Linked DNA regions of Stegostoma tigrinum. The protein of the gene in region 1 interacts with the protein of each later gene in a biochemical or structural test. Links are inferred from orthologs where the notes say so. Each region holds a gene or a part of one and is shown in the gene's direction. Other genes may lie near its edges. The genes, in order: ras-related protein Ral-A, exoc2 and phospholipase D1-like.

What was found.
Region 2: the proteins of ras-related protein Ral-A (region 1) and exoc2 are reported together in a solved structure, tested with the Homo sapiens proteins (2 studies listed by BioGRID, with this or other methods). The link is inferred for Stegostoma tigrinum from reciprocal best matches to the Homo sapiens genes RALA and EXOC2.
Region 3: the proteins of ras-related protein Ral-A (region 1) and phospholipase D1-like form a complex in vitro, tested with the Homo sapiens proteins (2 studies listed by BioGRID). The link is inferred for Stegostoma tigrinum from reciprocal best matches to the Homo sapiens genes RALA and PLD1.

What each region holds. Positions count from the first base shown.
Region 1 is NC_081358.1:10,034,748-10,042,186, reverse strand, and holds the start of ras-related protein Ral-A, read left to right. Parts: upstream 1-4,350; 5' UTR 4,351-4,483; intron 4,484-7,439. UniProt on the Homo sapiens protein: Multifunctional GTPase involved in a variety of cellular processes including gene expression, cell migration, cell proliferation, oncogenic transformation and membrane trafficking.
Region 2 is NC_081355.1:15,617,841-15,625,202, forward strand, and holds the start of exoc2 (exocyst complex component 2), read left to right. Parts: upstream 1-4,352; 5' UTR 4,353-4,409; exon of another isoform or gene 4,410-4,451; intron 4,452-4,498; exon of another isoform or gene 4,499-4,726; intron 4,727-7,362. UniProt on the Homo sapiens protein: Component of the exocyst complex involved in the docking of exocytic vesicles with fusion sites on the plasma membrane.
Region 3 is NC_081367.1:57,537,497-57,544,669, reverse strand, and holds the start of phospholipase D1-like, read left to right. Parts: upstream 1-4,069; 5' UTR 4,070-4,088; intron 4,089-7,173. UniProt on the Homo sapiens protein: Function as phospholipase selective for phosphatidylcholine. Implicated as a critical step in numerous cellular pathways, including signal transduction, membrane trafficking, and the regulation of mitosis.

The sequences.
Region 1 (7,439 bases):
CCATGTTGACTAGCCCTAATCAGTCCTTGCCTTTCCAAATACTTGTAAATTCTATCCTTCAGGATTCTCTCCAACAACTTACCTGCCATCGATGTCAGGCTCAATGATTGATAACTCCCTAACTTTTCCTTACTACCTTTCTTTAATAGTGGCACAATATTAGCCAACCACCAGGCATGCGACACCTCACCTGCGGCTTTCGATGATACAAATATCTCAGCAAGTGGCCCAGCAATCACTTCCCTAGCTTCTCACAGAGTTCTAGGCTACACTTCACTAGACCCTGGAGATTTATCCATTTTTATTTTAAGATGTTCAGCACCTCCTCCTCTGTAATATGAACATTTTTCAAGATGTCACTATTTATTTCCCCCTGTTCTCTATATTCTATACCCTTCTCCACTGTTAACACTGATGCAAAATACCTGTTTAGTTTCTTTTATTCATTCATGGGGTGAGAGCCTCACTGACAGGTCAGCATTTATTGTCCATCCCTATTTGCCCAGAAGGCAGTTCAGAGTCAACCACATTGGTATGGGTCTGGAGTCACATGTAGGTCAGACCAGGTAAGGATGGTGGTTCCTTCCCTAAAGGACAGTTGCAAACCAGATGGGTTTTTCCCCAGACAATTGACAATGGATTCATGGTCATCAGTAGATTCTTAATTCCAGATATTTTACTGAATTTAAATTCCACCATCTGCCATGGAGGGATCTGAACCCAGATCATCAGAACATTATCTGGGTCTCTGGGTTAACAGACAAGCAATAATACCTTTAGGCCATAGCCTCCTCGCTATTATCTCCCCCATCTCCAGTTCTGGTCGCCCTATTATAGGAAAGATGTGAATGCTTTGGAGAGGGTTCAGAGGAGGTTTACCAGGATGCTGCCTGGACTGGAGGGCTTATCTTATGAAGAGAGGTTAACTGAGCTCGGACTTTTCTCGTTGGAGAAAAGGAGGAGGAGAGGAGACCTAATTGAGGTATACAAGATAATGAGAGGCATAGATAGAGTTGATAGCCAGAGACTATTTCCCAGGGCAGAAGTGGCTATCACGAGGGGTCATAGTTTTAAGCTGGTTGAAGGAAAGTATAGAGGAGATGTCAAAGGCGGATTCTTTACACAGAGAGTTGTGAGAGCATGGAATGCGTTGCCAGCAGCAGTTGTAGAAGCAAGGTCACTGGGGACATTTAAGAGACTGCTGGGCATGCATATGGTCACAGAAACTTGAGGGTGCACACATGAGGATCAATGGTCGGCACAACATCGTGGGCTGAAGGGCCTGTTCTGTGCTGTACTGTTCTATGTTCTATCTCCTGCAGTTGCACACATTGGTGGCCTTGCTGATCATAAGGGTCCCTATTCTGTCTCTAGTTACCCTTTGTCCTTAATGTATTTGTAGAATATCTTTGGATTCTCCTTATTTGTCAAAGCTATTTCATGTCCCTTTTTGCCTCCCTGATTTCCCTCTTATATATACTCTTAGTGCCTTTGTACTCTTCTAGGGATCCACTGAATTTCTGCTGTCTATATCTGACATATGCTTCCTTCTTTTTCTTGACCAAAACTCAATTTTCTCTGACATCTAGCATTCCATACAGCTACAGCATTGCCCTTCACCCTAACAGGAATATACTGTCTCTGAATAATAAAGTGTGAAGCTGGATGAACACAGCAGGCCAAGCTGCATCTCAGGAGCACAAAAGCTGACGTTTCGGGCCTAGACCCTTCTTCAGAGAGGGGGATGGGGTGAGGGTTCTGGAATAAATAGGGACAGAGGGGGAGGCGGACTGAAGATGTAGAGAAAAGAAGATAAGTGGAGAGGAGAGTATAGGTGGGGAGGTAGGGAGGGGATTGGTCAGTCCAGGGAAGACGGACAGGTCAAGGAGGTGGGATGAGGTTAGTAGGCAGGAAATGGAGGTGGAGCTTGAGGTGGGAGGAAGGGATGGGTGAGAGGAAGAACAGGTTAGGGAGGCAGAGACAGGCTGGGCTGGTTTCGCGATGCAGTGGGGGGAGGGGATGAGCTGGGCTAGTTGTGTGATGCAGTGGGGGGAGGGGACGAACTGGGCTGGTTTTGGGATGCGGTGGGGGAAGGGGAGATTTTGAAGCTGGTGAAGTTCACATTGATACCATTGGGCTGCAGGGTTCCCAAGCGGAATATGAGTTGCTGTTCCTGCAACCTTCAGGTGGCATCAATGTGGCACTGCAGGAGGCCCATGATGGACATGTCATCTAAAGAATGGGAGGGGGAGTTAAAATGGTTCGCGACTGGGAGGTGCAGTTGTTTATTGCAAACCGAGCGGAGGTGTTCTGCAAAGCGGTCCCCAAGCCTCCGCTTGGTTTCCCCAATGTAGAGGAAGCTACACCGGGTACAATGGATACAGTATACCACATTGGCAGATGTGCAGGTGAACCTCTGCTTAATAGAGAGTCATCTTGGGGCCTGGATGGGGGTGAGGGAGGAGGTGTGGGGGCAAGTGTAGCACTTCCTGCGGTTGCAGGGGAAAGTGCTGGGTGTGGTGGGGATGGAGGGCAGTGTGGAGCGAACAAGGGAGTCACGGAGATAGTGGTCTCTCTGGAAGGCAGACAAGGGTGGGGATGGAAAAATGTCTTGGGTGGTGGGGTCGGATTGTAGATGGCGGAAGTGTCGGAGGATGATGCGTTGTATCCGGAGGTTGATGGGGTGGTGTGTGGGAACAAGGGAGATCCTCTTTGGGCGGTTGTGGCAGGGGCGGGGTGTGAGGGATGTGTTGCGGGAAATGGGGGAGACACGGTCAAGGGCGTTCTCGACCACTGTGGGGGGCAAGTTGTGGTCCTTGAAGAACTTGGACATCTGGGATGTGTGGGAGTAGAATGCCTCATCCTGGGAGCAGATGCAGCGGAGGCAGAGGAATTGAGAATAGGGGATGGAATTTTTGCAGGAGGGTGGGTGAGAGGAAGTGTATTCTAGGTAGCTGTGGGAGTTGGTGGGCTTGAAATGGACATCAGTTACAAGCTGGTTGCCTGAGATGGAGACTGAGAGGTCCATGAAGGTGAGGGATGTGTTGGAGATGGCCCAGGTGAACTTGAGGTTGGGATGGAAGGTGTTGGTGAAGTGGATGAACTGTTCGAGCTCCTCTGGGGAGCAAGAGGCGGCACCGATACAGTCATCAATGTAACGGAGGAAGAGGTGGGGTTTGGGGCCTGTGTAGGTGCGGAAGCGGGACTGTTCCACGTGCTGTGGGAGTCGGTGGGCTTGAAATGGACATCAGTCTTTGGAGTTTCGTTATCTCATTTTTGACAGTTCCCATTTTCCAGCAGTCTCCTTACCTGTGAACATCTGCCCCCAATGAACCTTTGAAGGTCCTTGCCTAATATTGCCAAAATTGGCCTTCCTCCAGTTTAGAACTTTAACTTTTAGACCCGGTCTATCCTTTTCTATCGCTATTTTAAATCCAATACAATTATGGTCACCTGCCCTGCCTTAGTTCCCAAAGGTAGGTCAGAGTCTGCACCTTCTCCAATAGGTTCATCCACATACTGAATCAGAAACGTTCTTGTACACTTTTAATAAATTCCTCTCCATCTAAGCCCTTAACACAATGGCAGTCTTTGTTTGGAAAATTTAAATCCCCTGCCATAACCATGCTATTATTCTCACAGATAACTGAGATCTCCTGACTACTGGGTGCGGGGGGGGGGGGGGGGGGGCGGTTAGGTCCATTGTACAATCCCAATGAGGCGATCATCCATTTCTTATTTCTCAATTCCACCCAAACATCTTCCCTAGACATATGCCCAGGAATATCCTCTCTCAGTACAGCCATAATGTTACCCCTAATCAACACCATGCCCCCCTGCTCCCCTTTCAATCCCTCCTATAACATCTACACCCTGGAACATTAAACTGCCAGTCCTGTCCAACCAAAGCAGAAAAAAAGTAATAGACATTGAAGCTTTCAGAAGAGTCAACAAAGCAATCTGCTGAATGTCATTAGGAAAAGGCAGGGTATATCTTAACAGTAAACAAACTAGTCTGCGCCGTTGAAGATGGAAGATCTCATGGTGGAAGAGAATATCAACTGTTGCTGGTTAAAAATTGAAAATGAAAAGATTAGCTGGGACCACAGATGATGCTGACCCCCGCCAGAAACTAGTCTGTTTTTCATAAGCGTAAGTGAAACAAATCTAATGTGAAGGGAACGAGGTCACTTTCCCAAAAATACACTCCACAAAACACAACCATACGCCTCTCTCCAGTCTCCTGATGATCCCAGTCAGGAGTCACCATTGTGTCGGAAGTGTTCATCCACACTTACGTCGCGCGCTACACGCCATTTCCGGTAGCCGCGCCAATCCCGCCCCGCCCTTCTGACGAGCGTCGCTCGCTCTTCCGCCATATTAACAGTGATCGGCCGGGCGGGGCGGCGGTAGAGAGGTGGTTGGTAAGCGATCTGCATTTAGTACCAGTGGTTGATTTCTCACTTCTTCGACGCGGTGACCGGTGAGTGTTTTAAAGTCTTGACACTGGCTGAGGTCGTGAAATGTTTCCGAGCTGACGGTTGGTCCCACAGCGCGCGATCCCTCCTCGGGGCGAGGCGGGACGGGACAGAAGAGGGACCCCCCTTTCCCTCTTCTCCCTCCGGAGAGCACTATTACATGGTTCTCTGATCATTCTCCAGTTTGGGTGAGATGTGCTATTGGGTGTGTTTGTTTTTTTTTCCACTCATGGAGGGGTGATATTGTTTGGTTTTAAACCCCTCCCCCTTTCCCCTTTGTTTTGGGGTGGAGGCTCCCCCTCTCTCCCTATTTATTCCAGAATCCTCTCCCCATCCCCCTCTCTGATGAAGGGTCTAGGCCCGAAACGTCAGCTTTTGTGCTCCTAAGATGCTGCTTGGCCTGCTGTGTTCATCCAGCTCCACACTTTTTTATCTCGGATTCTCCAACATCTGCAGTTCCCATTATCTCTGATAATGTGGCTGTTTCCTTTCCCTTTTTCGTCTTTGGGGTATCATTGTGTGATTTCCACCTTTCTCATAGAAGGTGGGGATATTGCTGAAGTCCCTTTAGGCCCCCATCCTGTCCGAGGAGATGGTATGATGCTTTGGCCTCTTTTACCCTGCAATAACTGGGTCCTGTGGGATTTTGAATTGGAAGTTTGTCGTTTGAATACGTGCTGTTTGAAAGTGGAGCCTAACCATTTAGGTTTAAACATTCCTCAGCTGCACATTTCCCTTTGAAGCTCCATTGTGTAGAGTTCACATTTAATATTAATCTGTACTGATTCTCAGCATGCTTTGCACAATTGGAGGCCATTTGGCTCAATGTTTATTTGCCTACGAGGGGGTATCCTTTTGTTTAACCATCCATGAGAAGGCAATTCAATATACTTATTGAAGTAATGATTATATGTTAAAACTACTTGTACTGTAAATAATGTTAGGATGCCAAGAGGGTCAAGAAAGTTGTTTTTATTATTTGAAGACCCATATGGCTGAAGTGAAGTGTTCTTTGAAGAAAGTTTAAGTAGGCATTTAAATCCAGTAGAGTCCAATTAAATCAATTGTATTTGAATAGTTGTACTTAGTTTTGGAATGAATAGCCAAGATATAAGTAGAACTATGTATGGTTACTAGAAGGCATAAACTGTGGCTCTTTTGAATGTAATATTTCTTCAGTCCTGCCCTGACTGAGAGCCTCTTGCCCAAGCACTGACTTCACAACGTTTCTGACTGAGGGGAAATGAATTAACAATGATACCCTGATTGTATGGCTTGCTATTTTGTTTTGTCCATTAGGTTCCTTTAAAAAGCTATGATTAACTAATTGAACAGCTGCATGTGATACATTCTTATCCAAAAAACCCTGGATAAGAATTTATTTCTCTACCTTTTGCATTATTCAGGTTTCTCCCTGAAAAGTAAATAAAATGCAAAATTGTGCAGGTTTTGTAGTTTTACTTTAGTTGCCAAAATACAAAAGCTTTTTTAAAAAGTTCTATTCAAGTCACTGGATAGTCACCTTTGGCATTGCCCAATTCTGGAGGATTTTTTTTTGAGGGATGTCAAGGTCTTCCTTGGGAGACTTACTAGAATAGGTACAAGCTGACTTCTGTCTGTAAATAGCAGGTAATTAGTTCTTCTCTTTGGGTCTGGAACAGTTATGGACATATTTTAAAAGGTGTTCCAAACATTATGAAATGTAACTTGCTGTCAGGTTCACCACCTATTGACTGTTTTTAGTTGGCCTTGAGAAGGAGATGGTGAGTTGCTAACTTGAACCTGCTACAGTCTGCCCAGTGTAGATACATCTACAGTGTTGTAGGGAAGCAGCTTCTGGCTGTTGACACAATGATAGTGAAGGATCAGCAACATAGTTTGACCTCAGGATGGTGTTTAATTTGGAGGGTGACTTGCAGTTCGTGTTTTCATGTATCTGTTGCCCGTTCCTCTCGTTAGATTTGGAAGGTGCATTGAGCAAGCATTGGTTAATTGCTGCAATGCATTTTTGTAAATGGCACACACTTGCACCTGTATGGGCATAAAATGACTTGTCAAATACTGGTCTTTCTGTATGTGGACACAGCTTAGTTATCTGATAACTTGTGATGTGTGTATTTTATAATCATCAGCAAACATCCCTGCTTCTGATCTTTGTAATGGAGGGATGACCATTGAAGTAAACTGAATAGTTGTAGAATTCTACTGAGGAACCCCCTCAGCAATTGTGCTTATTTTCCAATAAGCACAATTTTTTTCATTTTGTCCCACTGGATAGGGAACAGATTATTTCCACATTAGATCCACTTCGTAACCCTGTTAACACTGCCCATCACTGAAATTGGCCAAGTGGCATGATGGTGTGCAGGAGTTTTTTTCTTTTTGCTGATGCATTTAGCAGTAACAGCAATGCAGGGAAATGTGGAAAATGCCAAGTTCTCGTCTGGCTGTACTCTGAAGTACTTGTGCAATTCCAGTTTGTAGTAGTGAAGCTTGGCTGCCTTTGAGAATTTGAGATAATTGACCACGAAGGTGGGAAAATACCTGTCAGTTTCACAGACAGATTGAACAAGAACGGTGTCATTAGTCCCAGACTTGGTGTTCAAGTAAAGGAGTTTGAAAGTTGGCAAAATTCTTTCCTGTCATTTTACATATCTTGTTCTAATGACTTTGGCTGGGAGCGTAGACCACAGAAGCCAAATGCAAACACATACAGCAGGAAAGATCTTGGGATTCTTTTCCTGAAGTGTAAAGCCTCTCTATAATAAAGTGAAACAAAATGGTTCACTTAAATCAACCTATCTTGCATTTAAAAGTAATTTGTCAAATTGTTCTGTGTCTTAGAAAAGACATTCCTAAACTTGTGTTCAGTGCCAATGTTTGTAGCTGTACTGGAATAACTTGGCTAGAGGATATGGCTACTCCTGAAGTGTTTGTGTTCAATGAGAGCCAGAATGCTGC
Region 2 (7,362 bases), on another chromosome or scaffold:
TGCCCATACAGATTCTCAGTGGCTCCTCAGTGGCCAGTTACGAGCAAGTTTAGCATCCACACAAAAGAAGGCAATTGCTCAGCGGTGTTATTGCTGGACTGTTAATTCAGAGGCCCAGGTAATGTACTGGGAACCCGATTTCGAAACCTCCCACGGCAGATGGTGGAGTTCTTATTCAATAAAAAAAATCTGGATTTTAGAGTCTAACGATGATCATGAATCCATTGTCAATCGTTGAACCTATCTGGTTCACTAATGCCCTTCAGGGAAGGAAACTGCCATCCTTACCTGGTCTAGCCTACATATAACTCCAGACTCACTGTAATGTGGTTGGCTCTTCACTGCTGTCTGGACAATAACTGCAAGCCCAGCCAGAAATGCCTTAATTCTGTGAATATATTAAGAAAAAAGTGCTGCAGCTTCAATTCCCACATTTGTCATAGTTCTGTGACAGTATCCTGAGATATCCTCAATCTGCAGCAAAACTGCACCTTGTTCCTCTGAGGGAAATGGCATGTAGCACAAAAGGCTCTACAATGTATAGGAAGGTTAGAGACAATTGTTGGAGGATCAGACATTTTCCTGCTGACATTGTGGATCTCATCACTGCCTATCTCACCTGCTTTACTCAAAATTCTTGTCAATGCCCTGACTTTCAGGAACTGGGAAGATTCTGCCTTTAATGTCTGGGTTTTCTGAAACAAAAATCAATCCTTGATTATCCTAAACTGAAAACAAGCTTCAATGCCTTCAGTGATTACTCTACCTGCCGTAAACCACCCCAGTACAAACAATTTTCCATCAACTCTTCACGGCATTCCTGCTCTCTGACACACACTGGATTAGATCACTGTTCAAAAAACACTGCCTCAACTAACTTTCTTCAAAAAAAACTTCATAAAAGGAGGTCACTATCTTAAAATCCAACACCTAAAAGTGATATTCATAAGCTTGTACATATTTCACACATACCTCTTTTGTTTCACCTACCAACTTTGTTTGCATTAAAGCCCACATGGTCATTGGCCACTTTGTTTGTTTAACCACTTTCTCAAATGAGATGAGAAAGGCTTCTACATTCTTCTCGTCAAATTCAAGCAATGCTTGGATATATTTAAACATATTTCCCACCAGGCCTTTGGCTACAATGGGTTTGCTCCACGTCACTACCTTCCTCACTAAGCCTACCTGCTACCTTCACCTCCATCTTTCTATGTCAAGTTTCCTGTCTAACTGCCAACTTCTAAAGTTCAAACTCTCTCTCTTTCTTCTACTAGAGCCTTTCTCTCCTTTTCTATTTGTTCTGCCAGAGTGATTCTTTCCTTTTCTCTTTCTTCTGTTTTCAACCATAATTCAAATTATTTCAGTTCAAGCTGCTTCATCTGCAATTGAATTCTAGCCATTTCCAAAGATTCCAATGACATTTCCTGCAAACTTAAATATCAAGCTGTTGCTGTAATGATCTCTCCTTTTCTTGTAAAGACAACCCCAAATACAGCTTGTCTGCCAATTCCAACAACTTTGCCTTGCTCACCTGTTGTGAATCTCCCAAAGTAACTTCTTCTACCTCCGGAGAACTCCTAGTGACTGAAAGAGGCATTACCACACAAAGCACTGTTTGAACCAACCAAATTCACCACCTGAAACAAAAGACACAAACCCCTACCACTTCCCACCTTTGAGTCTAACAACCCTAAAGCCAAACTGGAATTATAGAATTATCCTGACAAGAGGCCCCAACCTGTTATGGACCAGGCCAGACCCCCTCAAAATATTTTAGAAGGTAGCCTAGATCCTAACTTTTCCTTATTTTAAAGGTGGATGTAAAGTGGGTGTTCCAGCTGTGATGTAACTGGTCAAACCACTTGGCTTAAAGCAAAACACAATTTATTAAAACACTACAGTTAAAACATGAACAAAAGAAAGTAGAATTTAGAATAACTTAAATATAGGAAAACTTAACCAAATACTCAATACAGTAACTTAACAAATAGCTGTTCCAATATAGTAACATTGCATAAACACACTCCTTGGCAAAAAGGTAAATTCAAACACAGATCGCACTGGCAGGAGGGAACAACAGCCAGAGAGATTCCAGAGAAAGTCTGCTTAGAATAATTTACTGAAGCTTGCAACCCTCTGCTAATCAAAACATTTTGTGACTGCCACAGCGAAAAAAGTTCAGAAAAAAACGTGAACTGGGTAATCGGCCATAACCCTTCTAACTGTTACTTCCTGGTCTCTTCTGTACTTCTACCTTTACAACCTCTCTTCAAAAAAACTAAGAGCAAAATAACCTTTTTAAACTGATAGCATTGTCACATACCGCAGAAGTCTTTTACATGCCTTTGTTACCTCTACAGTACACAATGTTCATTCTCTTCCATTTAAACTTAAATCCTAAGCCAGCAGCCAATGTCCCAAACTGCAACAGGCCTTGCTCCTTCATTATCCCGGATGGAGCTGATTTACACTGGGTTGAGCAACACCTTGAATTTAAAATAGCCATCATTGTTTCCAAAGTCTACCCATTTCCTTGCTTCCTCATATCTTTGTTACTTCCATCAGCAATACAACGTGATAAAATACCTGTTCAATTTACATATTCACAAATTTACCAGCACTACTATTGGCAGCCCCTTCAGCTGCTCAGGTCATAGTAAAACTCTGGGAATCTGTCCATAAATTTCTCTGTCTCTCTTTCCTTCTTTTAAGAAACTGTTTATAATTTGAATATTTTTAGGCCTTTTATGTAAGGAAAGATATATTAGCATTGGAGGCAGTCCAAAGAAGGTTCCCCAGGTTGATCTGGTGTAGGGAGACATTTTCATATGAAGTGAGCTGGAGTAGCTTGGGCTTGTACTCATTGCAGTTTAGAAGAATTAGAAAGGACTTGCGAGGGTAGATGCACACAAGTTGTTTCCCCTTGTAGGAATGTCAAGGAACTGAGTGCATAATCTTAGTGTTCAGCGTTGCCCATTTACGACAGAAATTAGATAGATTTTATTCTCCCAGAGGGTGGTAAATCTATGGAATTTCTTGATGCAAGGCAACCAAGGATTTTGGAAATAAGGTAGGAAAATGAATTGAAAGGAGGACTTGAAGGGTTGACTGGGCTACTTCAGCTTCTATGTCTTGTTGTCTTATATTGGCTTGGCCACTGGTGAGAATGCTGTCACTCTTCTTTGAAAAAAATAGTGGGATGCTTTACGTTTAACTGAGGGAAAATGAAATCTTTAGGTGAAAACCTGATTGAAAGGCCCTCGTAGAACAGCCAGTTGTCTCCTACATTTAGCATCAACCTCCAGATAACTATTGAAAGCAATCTGGATAATTTGAAATATTATTTTAAGCAAATAAATATGCTGTAAACAGGTACTGAGATGGGTGGCACACACAGATCATGAATCATATTGGGTAAAAGTTTTCTATGGTGTGTATTTGTAGGAGAAAACATATGTACACTCTAGGTTGATGGCTTACTCGACAAGGGGTGCTCAGCAGCCACCCTTGCTCGTACATTGAGTGCAGGGAACACAGCACTTCTGCAGGAAGCAATTGGCAGGTCTTGGGATCATGTATCTAAATGAGCATACAGGCAGCTCTTACTGCCTGGTCTTGGGTCCCATTTGTTTTTACACCATAATCTGCAAAAATGAAAACCATGAAGAGAGAGCAGGCTACGGTTACCCCAGTAGAAGCAAAGTAGCTTCTCCTCGGTACCCAGGGTGTGTATCCAGGGATATCATCTTTCATGGATGCCTATAAGTTTGTATTTGGCACAAGGCAAGGCAATGATTGAATTCGGGTAAGCATTTAGCTTTATCCGCCCCAGAAAAAAATATCATGATTGAGTGATGCTTGAACATGCCGACATTTCTGTGGCATTACTCTACAATTAGCGAGGGTGGGGTGCATTGAAGGGTAGGGACAGACCTTTCAATAGTGGACAAGAATAAGCTGCAGATGCTGGAAATCAGACACACACACAAAAACAGAAATTGCTGAGGGGTACGATGCACAGCCGGTCTATGGAGAGAAAGTAAGAGTTGATCAGGTCCAGTGATGGTTATTTTTGCTTCCATCGCATGATTTTCCTCCTAGTGTCTGACACAGAAAGCTCTGACAGATTCACTCCCCTGCAGCACTGCACCAGCATTTAGTGCCTGAGTTCCAAAACGAAGACTTGCACCAACAGCCTCAAGCACGGCAAAGCAAGGAGACTAACGACTACACCACACTCGCCAGCCAGCACGAACGCCCTGGCAACAAGATGCGGACCTCATCCACGCCGCAACGGAGGAGGTGGTCACGTGACCTACCCGTTACACCCATTTCCCCTTCCCCCGGCGGTGGTTTACAGCTTGACCCGGATGTTGTTTTGCGTGGCCGGTGATGGAGCAGTGCGGGTGAGATCGGTGGGGCGAACGATTGACTGACTGACTGACTGAGTGAGTGAGTGAACGAACGAACGGGAAAAGCGCTCGGTCTCCATTGCACCCTGGTTGCCGGCAGTTACCGGTCTGGTCCGGTGTAATCCAAGCCCCGGTGGGGCTCGCCCTGACTGGGTGGGCTCCTCCGGGACTGAGGTGGAGGCTGGGCCGCCTCTGGGTTAAGGTCGTCCCTGACCTTTGGTGTTGCACCGCTGCAGCCCCAGGTCCTCACCGCAAGAAGCTCAAGTCCGATTAAAACAGGCCGTTTTTGTTTTGCCCAGGTGGTTTGACAGGTTCGTTTCATCTTGTTAAAGTTCACCTTGTTTGATGCTCTGATCGCCGCAGTTGATTGATTTCACTGTCCGACTATTTATTTGATTAAGCCAGGCCACCGCGAACAGTAAAATTGCCATAGTCCTACCAAACCATAGAAAAGACGACCGCTGGTGGTTTAACTTGAGGGTTACCACACTTTAGACAAAGGGCGAGCTGGAAAAGGTGGGGTCTTCATGGTCACCTCAACTGGTGCGGGAACAGTTGTGATGAGTAGAGAAATAGTCTCGAAACGCGTGGTGATCCAGCTTATTCTTTTCAATCTGAGCGTGCGCTGGGCAAGATCAACATTAGCATGGTCAGCATTATTTGAAGTTAGAGTCCATTCATCATAAAAGTGAATGGAGTCATCTTAGGCTTCACGGGTTAGGCATGGCATAGCATTGTGGAACAAGTGTTCATATTCAAGATCCTCTTGGTTGTTAGGTGATTAATGCTGTCATGAAAATGTACCGTGTTTTATCTGAGGACGCGATATTTGCCATGAGCAGTCGATTTTTAATCTTTAGACTAATGGTAGCGAAATGAAATGTTTGTTAGTTGACTAATTTGGTGGTTTTCAGCTTGCCAGTCAGTTGGAAGCTATAAATCTAAAAAACACAATTTGTACCTGCTACAAAAGGAAATTTAAAAGATTTTTTTAAGCTGAACACAAAAAATGTCTGTCCAGATATTGAGATCTCCAGGTAGTTTTCAACCTCGAGAAATAATTGGCTTGTTTGGGAAAAGATGTGGTTAGTAAGTTGATACATACGCATGATGTGTGCCAACAGCCAGATTTTTTTCTTGTAATTTGATGAATCTATGATATACTGTGGAAAGACTTTTTTAAAATTCACTCTGACTTGCTGTTGTAGCCGTAATATTTATATTGCTGGCCCAGTTCAGCTCTGGTCAATGGTAACTCCCCAAGATGGCAGTGCAGAATTCAGTGATGATAATGCCATTGAATGTTGAAGCGTGATGGTTAGATTCTCTGTTGATGATGCGCATTGTCTAGGCATATTTCTGGTGCAAATGTTACTTGCCACTTCTCAGCCCAACTGTGGAATATGTCCATGTCCTGTTGCATTCAGAGGCTGAGGAGTTGCGAATGATAGCGTGTTTTATCTGAGGACATGATATTTACCTTCAGCAGTCAATTTTTAATCTTTATACTAATGATAGCTAAATGAAATGTTTGTTAGTTGACTAATTTGGTGGTTTTCAACTCGCCAGTCTTATGGTCGAGGGAAGCAGCAAAGTTGAATGGGCTTTGGATATTCCCCCTAAAGAACTTTTGTGTGAAATGATTTTAGTGTCTCTTTCCCTACAATTTTTAAACTGGTTAACTGTTGAAGTATAGGCTTATCGTTGTCCAACTTAGAAAGGCTGCACATATCTATCTAGTCATAATCAGAAAATTATCTGCGATGGCTACTTTCTCATTCTGACATTGCTAGCCTGAGGTAACAATGACCTATGCTAGGTCTGCTCTTATTCTCTTGCTGCCCCTCTGTGACATTCTGTGAAAGTACAGTGTTAGATTCCTGCATATACATTGGCAAAACACAGCTTCACTTCCTCTTTTACCATCTGCTGTCTTGAAATTTTCTGATGATATGATATCCAGTACTTTCAGTAGAACTTTTTATTTTCAAACTGAATGTTGAAAAGACTTTAATTATTGTCTTCCACTCAGCCTGAAATAACTGCAGAGAAGTCGCGTGCCATCACCAAATCCCCTTTTATTTGCTCTTGCATAGTCCACTGGCTGCGGCCAGTTAGTTCGGAGTCAGTCCTCAATTGGGAAGATTCCAAGCCCCTGGTTATTTTCTTTTCTGGCTTTTTTTTTGTAAATTCAAAAACCAGAAAGATACAGTGTCATAAACACATTACATAGCATCAGTCACTATACATAAAAATAAGTTGCCAAAGAGCAGAGACATTTAGGATAGAACGTCCTAAACAATGACATCTGAATTTAAACAGTAAATCCAAAGTCCACATTAAGTTAGTGACTTAAACACACCATGTGGCAAAGTCACTAGGCAACAAGAAATTTTGTCGAAGAGCAGAGACGTTGACGTAGAACGTCGTATAGAAACACATCTTATTTGCAACAGTAGTACAAAATATTACAAGTAGACATACATTCAAGTCCACATAAGGTTACGGAGTATCAAACACGATACGTGGCAAAGTTCCTATGCATCAAGGCAAGCTGCTAAAGAGCAAAGACATGGAATTAGAATATCGTATAGAAACATCTCATTTCAAACAATAGTACAGAATGTTATAGATAAGCGCGCATTCTAGGGCTATCGGTTGGCCTGCACATGGACCAGCAAGATACAAAGGCATGATGCATACACAAAAGCATATTCTAAACAGGAAGGCAAAGTCCAGCACATGAAAGCTCAATCTTGGACCCATACACTGAAACTTGTGTCACAAAGTCTGGGTCCTGTTACCACGTTACCCTTTCATTTTACCTGTACAACAGTACCACTGGCTGTAGTGAGCCAGCTCTGAGTCAATCCTCAATTGAGGAGATTATAATCTCCTGATTATATCGGTCAGCTAAATCTTTTCTGATTGGCCCAGGTTAATAACC
Region 3 (7,173 bases), on another chromosome or scaffold:
GCTGAAGTACATCAGCCATGATTACAATGAATGATGGAGCATGTTTGAAGGGCTGAATGGCCTTACCTGTTCCTACTTCTTATGTTTTTATTTGTTTCTCAATGATGTGGTGTGGTGATGGGATATTTAAATTGTCAAGTATTCATGAAAATGATGCTCTTTACTGAAAAGGTGTTCTCTATACTCACTCAGGTTGGCAAGATCCCACATGCAGCGGATTAAACCCGAGAAGTTTCCAATATTTAATTTATAAATGAAATAAATGAGTTGTTGGAGCAATATTGGGACCTACCACTGGCTGTGTGACAATACTGGCTTCTCTTGGTCATGGGCCTGCATGTGAGGGAACAGGCCGTTTTGCAACTCACACATCTTTGGGCGGAGGGGGCAGGATATTGCCTGAAGAGTAAAGTCTGGACTGCAGGACTTGCTTCTTTCGTTTTCCTGCTCTGTCTCAATGTTTAGGAGTGGTGTCTCAAATGCGATTTTTCTTGGTGGAGAATTGGTGGTGAACTCCTCCCAGACGCTGCCATCCTGTGAGGACAGCTTCATGGTGTCATTGTCACATTCTCTTTGTCCTCCCCTGGAATGCCGGCTATGTGAGAATTCCTTTTTCTCAGCCCTCAAATGGTAAGTGAAGGGTTAATAGGAGATTCCGACAGCTTGAAAGGATCTTAACAAAAAGGATGTGGGCTAAGGTGACAGTCCTGCCCACAGGATATAGAGAAGTCCACTGGGCTTCGGAAGCTGTATTTGATCTACTGCTGATCTCAATCTCTGGAAGTCTTGTTTCTGCTGTGAAAATGACTTTCAGTTTTTGATCTTAACTCATTAAGGAAAACATACAACTGCTGATTTTATACTGGTATCAAGAAAAACTTCAAAATTTGTTTTTGAGATGTCCCATTCAAGTCCAAAGCTTTGAGACAAGGCCAAATAATAATCCTTCAATAAGGCAACAGTTACATTTCTTAGAATTCCTACGGTGCGGATTCAGACCATTTGGCCCAGTGTGGACCCTCCAAATAGCATCACACTCAGATCCATCATCCTACCCTTTAACCCAGCATTTCCCATATTTGAAATGTGGGAGGAAACTCACACAGACATGGAGTGAATGTGTAGACTGCACACAGACAGTCACCTGAGGCTGGAATCAAACCCAGATCCCTGGCACTGAGAATCAGCAATGCTCACCACTGAGCCATTGTGTGCCCTGTTAATATGCCACCCTTTACATTGTGAGAGAGGCGTGATATAGCAGTCAATATTGTGAATGTAAATCTAGAACTACAGGTTAATGTTCATGGGTTCAAATCCCAAAATCGCTTTAAATGGATTTTAAATACACTTAATACACCTCGAACATAAACATAACCTTAGAAGAAGTGACCATGAAGCTTACTTCAATTGTTATAATAATCCAGCTGGTTCACGAATGTTCTCTATTCTTTTGGATGCCATATTAAAAGAAGCACATGAACACATTCGAGACAGTGCAGAAGTGATTAATGAGAATAGTTCCAAAGGTTAGAAACTTGAGTTCTGTGGATAGATTGGAGAGGTTGAGACTGTTCTTCTTGGAGAGAAGAAGGCTAAGAAAAGATTTGATAAAGGTGTTCAAAGTCATGAGTGGGCTGGATAGAGTATATTGGAAGGAACTGCTCCTGCTTGGGTGATGAACAAGAAACAATGGGCATGGATTTTAAGTGATTTGCTAACGGAGCAAATGGGATGTGAGGAAAAAAAGACCATTTCGCACAGCAAGGCGTTAGGATAGCAAATGCACTGCCTGGAAGTGTGGTGGATGCAGATTGCATTGAGACATATGAGAGGGCATTGATGCAGACACAATAGGCTGAATGGCCTTCTTCTGTGCCATAACACCTCTGTGATGCTGGAAACTCTCCCAGAGCACCTCAAGCTGGATCAATTATTGACAATAGGTGTCATCAAGTCATTTAAGGAAATATGAGGACAGGTGACCAAAAACTTGTTCAAAGGGGTATGTTTTAAGGAGAGGCTAAATAGAAGGTGGTGCGGTAAGGAGGCAGTGAGTTTTATGGAGGGAATTTGAGACCTTTTTGAACAATGATATTAATCATTCCACCATTGGTATCGGTGCTTTCTCTGAGCTCTGGAATTCTTGCCCTTAACTTTTCCACCACTCTTCCTTTCACTCATCCTTGAAGAAACACCTTTAAATTTATCTCTTTAAACAAGCTTTTGGTCACCTGAGTGAATATCTGTCTATGTGACATAGTCACATTATTTCTTAAAAGGAGCACCTTGTTTACTTTACCAAAGTGTCTCAGTGTAAACACATGGCTGTTGTGGTGTTTTTGTTGAAAGTGGTGAAAACCTTTAACATATCTCACAAGAAACTGGTGTCGACTGAAACTACAGCTAACTCCTTGCCAACTACAGTAATAGCACTTCAAAAGAATGTCATTGGCTGAGAAGGGTTTGGGACATCCTGTGGTTAGGAAACGAATGAAGCTTAATTAATACAGGTCTTTGTTCCTTTTAATTGAAGTCTGTGTCGTGCAGAATTTTGCAATGGCCGTTGCTTTATTATGTTTTCATAAGCTGCACTTTGGACCTGGTTCAAGGAGTGAAACTGTGTGTCATCTCAGACAGGTGAAAGTCTGCGTACTCAGGTTTGATAGGATCTGCTGCAGTGAGCCAAGTAATGCCTTGCACCAATTTGTTTCAGAACCTCATACATATTGCTGTGAAGGGTTGTGATCTGAGTATAATTTTTTGAAAGATTAGGTGGGCCCATATAAATATGTTTTCAACTTTTAATCAAAGGGCACTTTGCTCAGGGAAAAGGCACTGGTCCAACTCCCTGATGCACTTTCAAGGAGCAAAGTACTTGGATGCGATTGCACAGTCTGAACTTTCAGGGACAGGTCATATGACTAGTTTGTGAGTGTAATAATTTTTGAACTCAGTCACAGAAAAGTTGAACAACTTGAAGAGCAAAAGCCCACTCTCTCTTTGCAACACTTCTCCACAGAACAAGTGAGCTGAAAACCCACCAGAAATAATTGTTAGCACTCATAGAGGATTCCTGGGCAGAATTTTTTGGAATCTATCTGCCACAACTTTTGTGTGTGTGTGTGTGTGTGTGTGTGTGTGTGTGTGTGTGTGTGTGTGTGTGTGTGTGTGTGTGTTTACAACATGCCCCAAAATTGTCCTCTTAATCGTCTTGTGATATGGTGGTAATGCCCCTATCTCTGGGCCAGGAGACCTGGGTTCACAATGACAATCACACCAGAGATGTGTAATAAGTTCACTGAAAAGATGCTAGGTTCATCAGGTGATTTGGTGGTGATAAAAAAAAACCTTCAGCACTGTATAAAAGATTTTAAAGAACAAGAAAGCGAAAAGCATTGTTATCCACTATCCAGACACACGTCAGCACTCTGTTTTGCTGCTGGGTTTTGGTTGCGGAGGAGTCCTTCTGATTTCCAGCAGTAACCTGGAGTGGAGGGTATTGTGTAATCACAGATTGCAGTGGTTCATAGACTTCCAGTACAAGTGCTTCATACTTTAGAATCTCTACGGTGTGGGAGCAGGCTATTTGGTCCATTGAGTCTGCACCGCTCCTCTGAAGAGTAACCCACCCAGACCGACCTCCCCTACCCTATTCCAGTAACCCTGTATTTCCCACGGCTAATCCATCTAGCCTGCACATCTCCAGATGCCATGGGCAACATAGCGTGACCAATCCACCTAACTGACACATCTTTGGACAGAGGGAGGAACCGATGTGCCCAAAGAAAACCCATGCAGACATGATGAAAATGTGCAAACTCAACGTAGACAGTTGCATGAGGCTGGAATCGAACCCAGATCCCTGGCGCTGTGAGGCAGCAGTTCTAATCTCTGAGCTACCAAGCTTATTTTATGACTGTGGATTCCACAGGTCATATATATATATATTAGCTGTTGCACTCCCTGCTTGAATACATTAAAGACTTGTTTTTGTTCTTTTGCAGTGTCTCCACCTCTGGTGAGTTATTTAATTGTCCACAACTGGATGTGGCAGGCCTACAGAGCCTAAGTCTGATCCTTTGATTGTAAGTACACTTAGCCCTGTCTGTTGCATGCTGACTCTGCTCTTTGGCATGCAGGTAATCCTGTATTGTGACTTGTCTAGTTTGAAACCTCATTTGTAGGTTTGTCTGGTACTGCTCCTGGCATGCCCTCCTGCATTCAACCAGGCTGACCTTGCAGGGTGATGGTCAGGGTAGCTATGATAGACTATGAAGTTAAATGCTTTGGTTGAATATGTAACATGCCCTATTTACCACTTATAATGCCACACAATAGAATGGAGAATGTTCTCAATGTGAAGGCAGGACTTAGCCTCCACAAGGACCATTTGTTGGTCACTCTTGCTGTGACTGCCATGGGCAGATGCAGCTGCACTAGACAGATTGATGAGGATGTGGTTAAGTGTACATTTCCCTCAAATTGGTTTCTTCAGCACCTGCTGCAGACTCAGTCTAACAGCTATGTCCTTTAGGACTTGACCAGTTCAGACAGTAGTGACGCTGCCAAATGACTCAGTGATAGACATTGAACCCACCCACTACATTCTGCACCTTTGACATGCATAGTGCATCTTCCAAGTGGTGTTGAATGTGAAGGAGCACTGATTCATCAGTTGAGGGAGGATGATGCATATTAACCCACAGGAGTTTCCTTCCCCTTGTTTGACTTGATGCCATGAGATTTCATGGAGATTAGACAAAACCTCTCCAAGTCAATCACTGTTCTCAACACTTCTCAAACCAACTCAAGCAGAAGTCAACAGCAAAAGCATGTAGCTATCACCAGTCACATGACTTACAGGAAACTTTTAGTTTAATGTCCGCAGTGAACTTTCAATGACCTCTTTCAAATAAATAAATTCAGGTTTTTGCACAAAACTTGAAATAAATGAATTTTCCACATTCCTGCAGAACTTAATGCCTGTTAGCAATATTAAATATAAAGTGTCTTCAAAGCACAGATATTAAGCGTTTTTATATATAACAGTAATATCCCCCGAAAAGCGAATATGTTTGTAAAATGTGATTTCTACTTTATACGTCCATGTGGACTCTGCTGGAACTGGTTAGCATTTTCTTATTGTGCAATTATCATAAGCTTTATAACTAATCACGGTATGTTCTTTACTGCTGACATCAGATTTACAGGTCTGTAGTTCCCATATTCTCCCTCCCTTGTTGCTTAACATGTGAAAATGTCAATAATGAAATGATCAGGTTCTGGTGACTTGTTAACTTTCAGTCTCATTATGTTTATTGGTCATTCTTTATGAATACTGAGTTCTTTTAGTTCCTCATTTGTCCTAGTCTTCTGACTCTGATAATCTCTGGGAGAGTTTTGTAATTTCTACTGTGAAGAGAAATACAATTTTAATACCTATTTTTCTAATCAAACTGTTCAGACCTGTCATTATAGACCTCTAGAGCAGGTGGGACTTGAACCTGGGCCTCCTGGTCCAGTGAGAGGGTCACTACCACTGTGCCAGAAGGGAGCCTCTTGCTATTTTACATTCATATTCCATTTTCCCTTTCTTTATCAGTTCCCTATACCTTCTTTGCTGAATTCTAAAATGCTCCCAATCTTCAGGCTTACTAATTTCCTGACAATAAGCATCTTCTCAAGGCTCCTTTGACTTCAGCCTCCAAACCCGTCACTACACCCATAAACCACAAAGAGTAGCTGATCCTTGGGATCATGACTACCAACCATTCCATCCAACCCTCTTGCCTTGGAACTTTAGGTTGAAATTTTAGGACCTCCTTTGTTGGACACTGACAGTGCATCTACCCCAGATGTACTGTAGATGTTCCCATGCAAGGACTAGGTGACACAAAATTAAGTCGTTGGTCAAGAGATTCAGAGACAATGGGAGGAAAAGCTATTTTACACAATGAGTGATAATGGGCTATGATTCATTGCCCATAAAGATATTTTCAAGAGCAAATTGACTGGCATTTGAAAGAAATGAGCCTACAGGATTACAAGAATAGAATTGGAAAGTTGGATCTCTCTGTGGTGAGCTGGCATGGACCTGATGGACTGAATGGCCTCCCTCTGTGCTCTAAATGACTCTCTGATTTTCCAACCTTAAGAAGTCAACACCACTTTCTCAAAAATAATGAGGAAGGACAACAAGTGATAATGATCCTCACCTTGTGTGATTGAATGAAAAGGAAGTGGATATAACAAATGAAGCAGGTGAAGCTGAGTACCACTATGCACAGAGCTTTGTTATGAGTACGTTCCAGAGTTTGTCTGGTATGATATCCAATGTCACTGCCAACATGTGAGGCTTCCATGGCTATTAAGTGAGGTGTCCCATTGCCATTGCTAATAGATAAATTTCCTCAAGTCTAAAATTGAGGTGCACAATGACTGACAAGACAGGTATCCCTATCTAACAAGTGAGGTATCCTATATCTAACAGGTGAAATATCCCATATCCAACAGATAAGGTACAGCATATCTAATAGGTAGTACCATATCTAACAGGGGAGGTGCTCTACTGCTAAAATCTATGCAGGTGTTACTCCCAAAGTCAGTGAAAGCATTACAAATATTATACAGTAAATCTCAGCTAAAAGTTTTGTGTTTTGCTCCTGATAAACATCCCAGAATCAAGTGACAAGCTGTTACAGCATTCCTCAATGTATTCCAGCATACATTCCCTCATCCTTCATGGTATAATTTTCCATTTGGTACGTGTAAATTTGTGAGCTCCACATTCAGGCTGTCAACTTGTATTGTTCATGAAATATCACGTCAGGGATTTGGCTCAATCGCAGTTAGAGGGTGACAATCCAAAATAAACAGTCTGAGTTTTATGTGTACTGAATATTTGAAATGTTCATTGTGTTAGACATCCTGCACTAGCACTCAAATTCAGATCTGTGTGGGGCAGGCTGTGATAGCTCATTGCAAGAAATTCTTTAAAGCAATATTGGCATTTCTTTGGCATGTTTAATTTTTAACAAGATCAATCACAGGATGTGGGTGTTACTGCCTAGACCAGCATTTATAGCCCGTTCCTAATTGCCCAGATTAGAGTCAAGAGTTAACCACATTACTGGAGTTACATGCAGCGCCAGACAAAGTAGGAATGGCAGC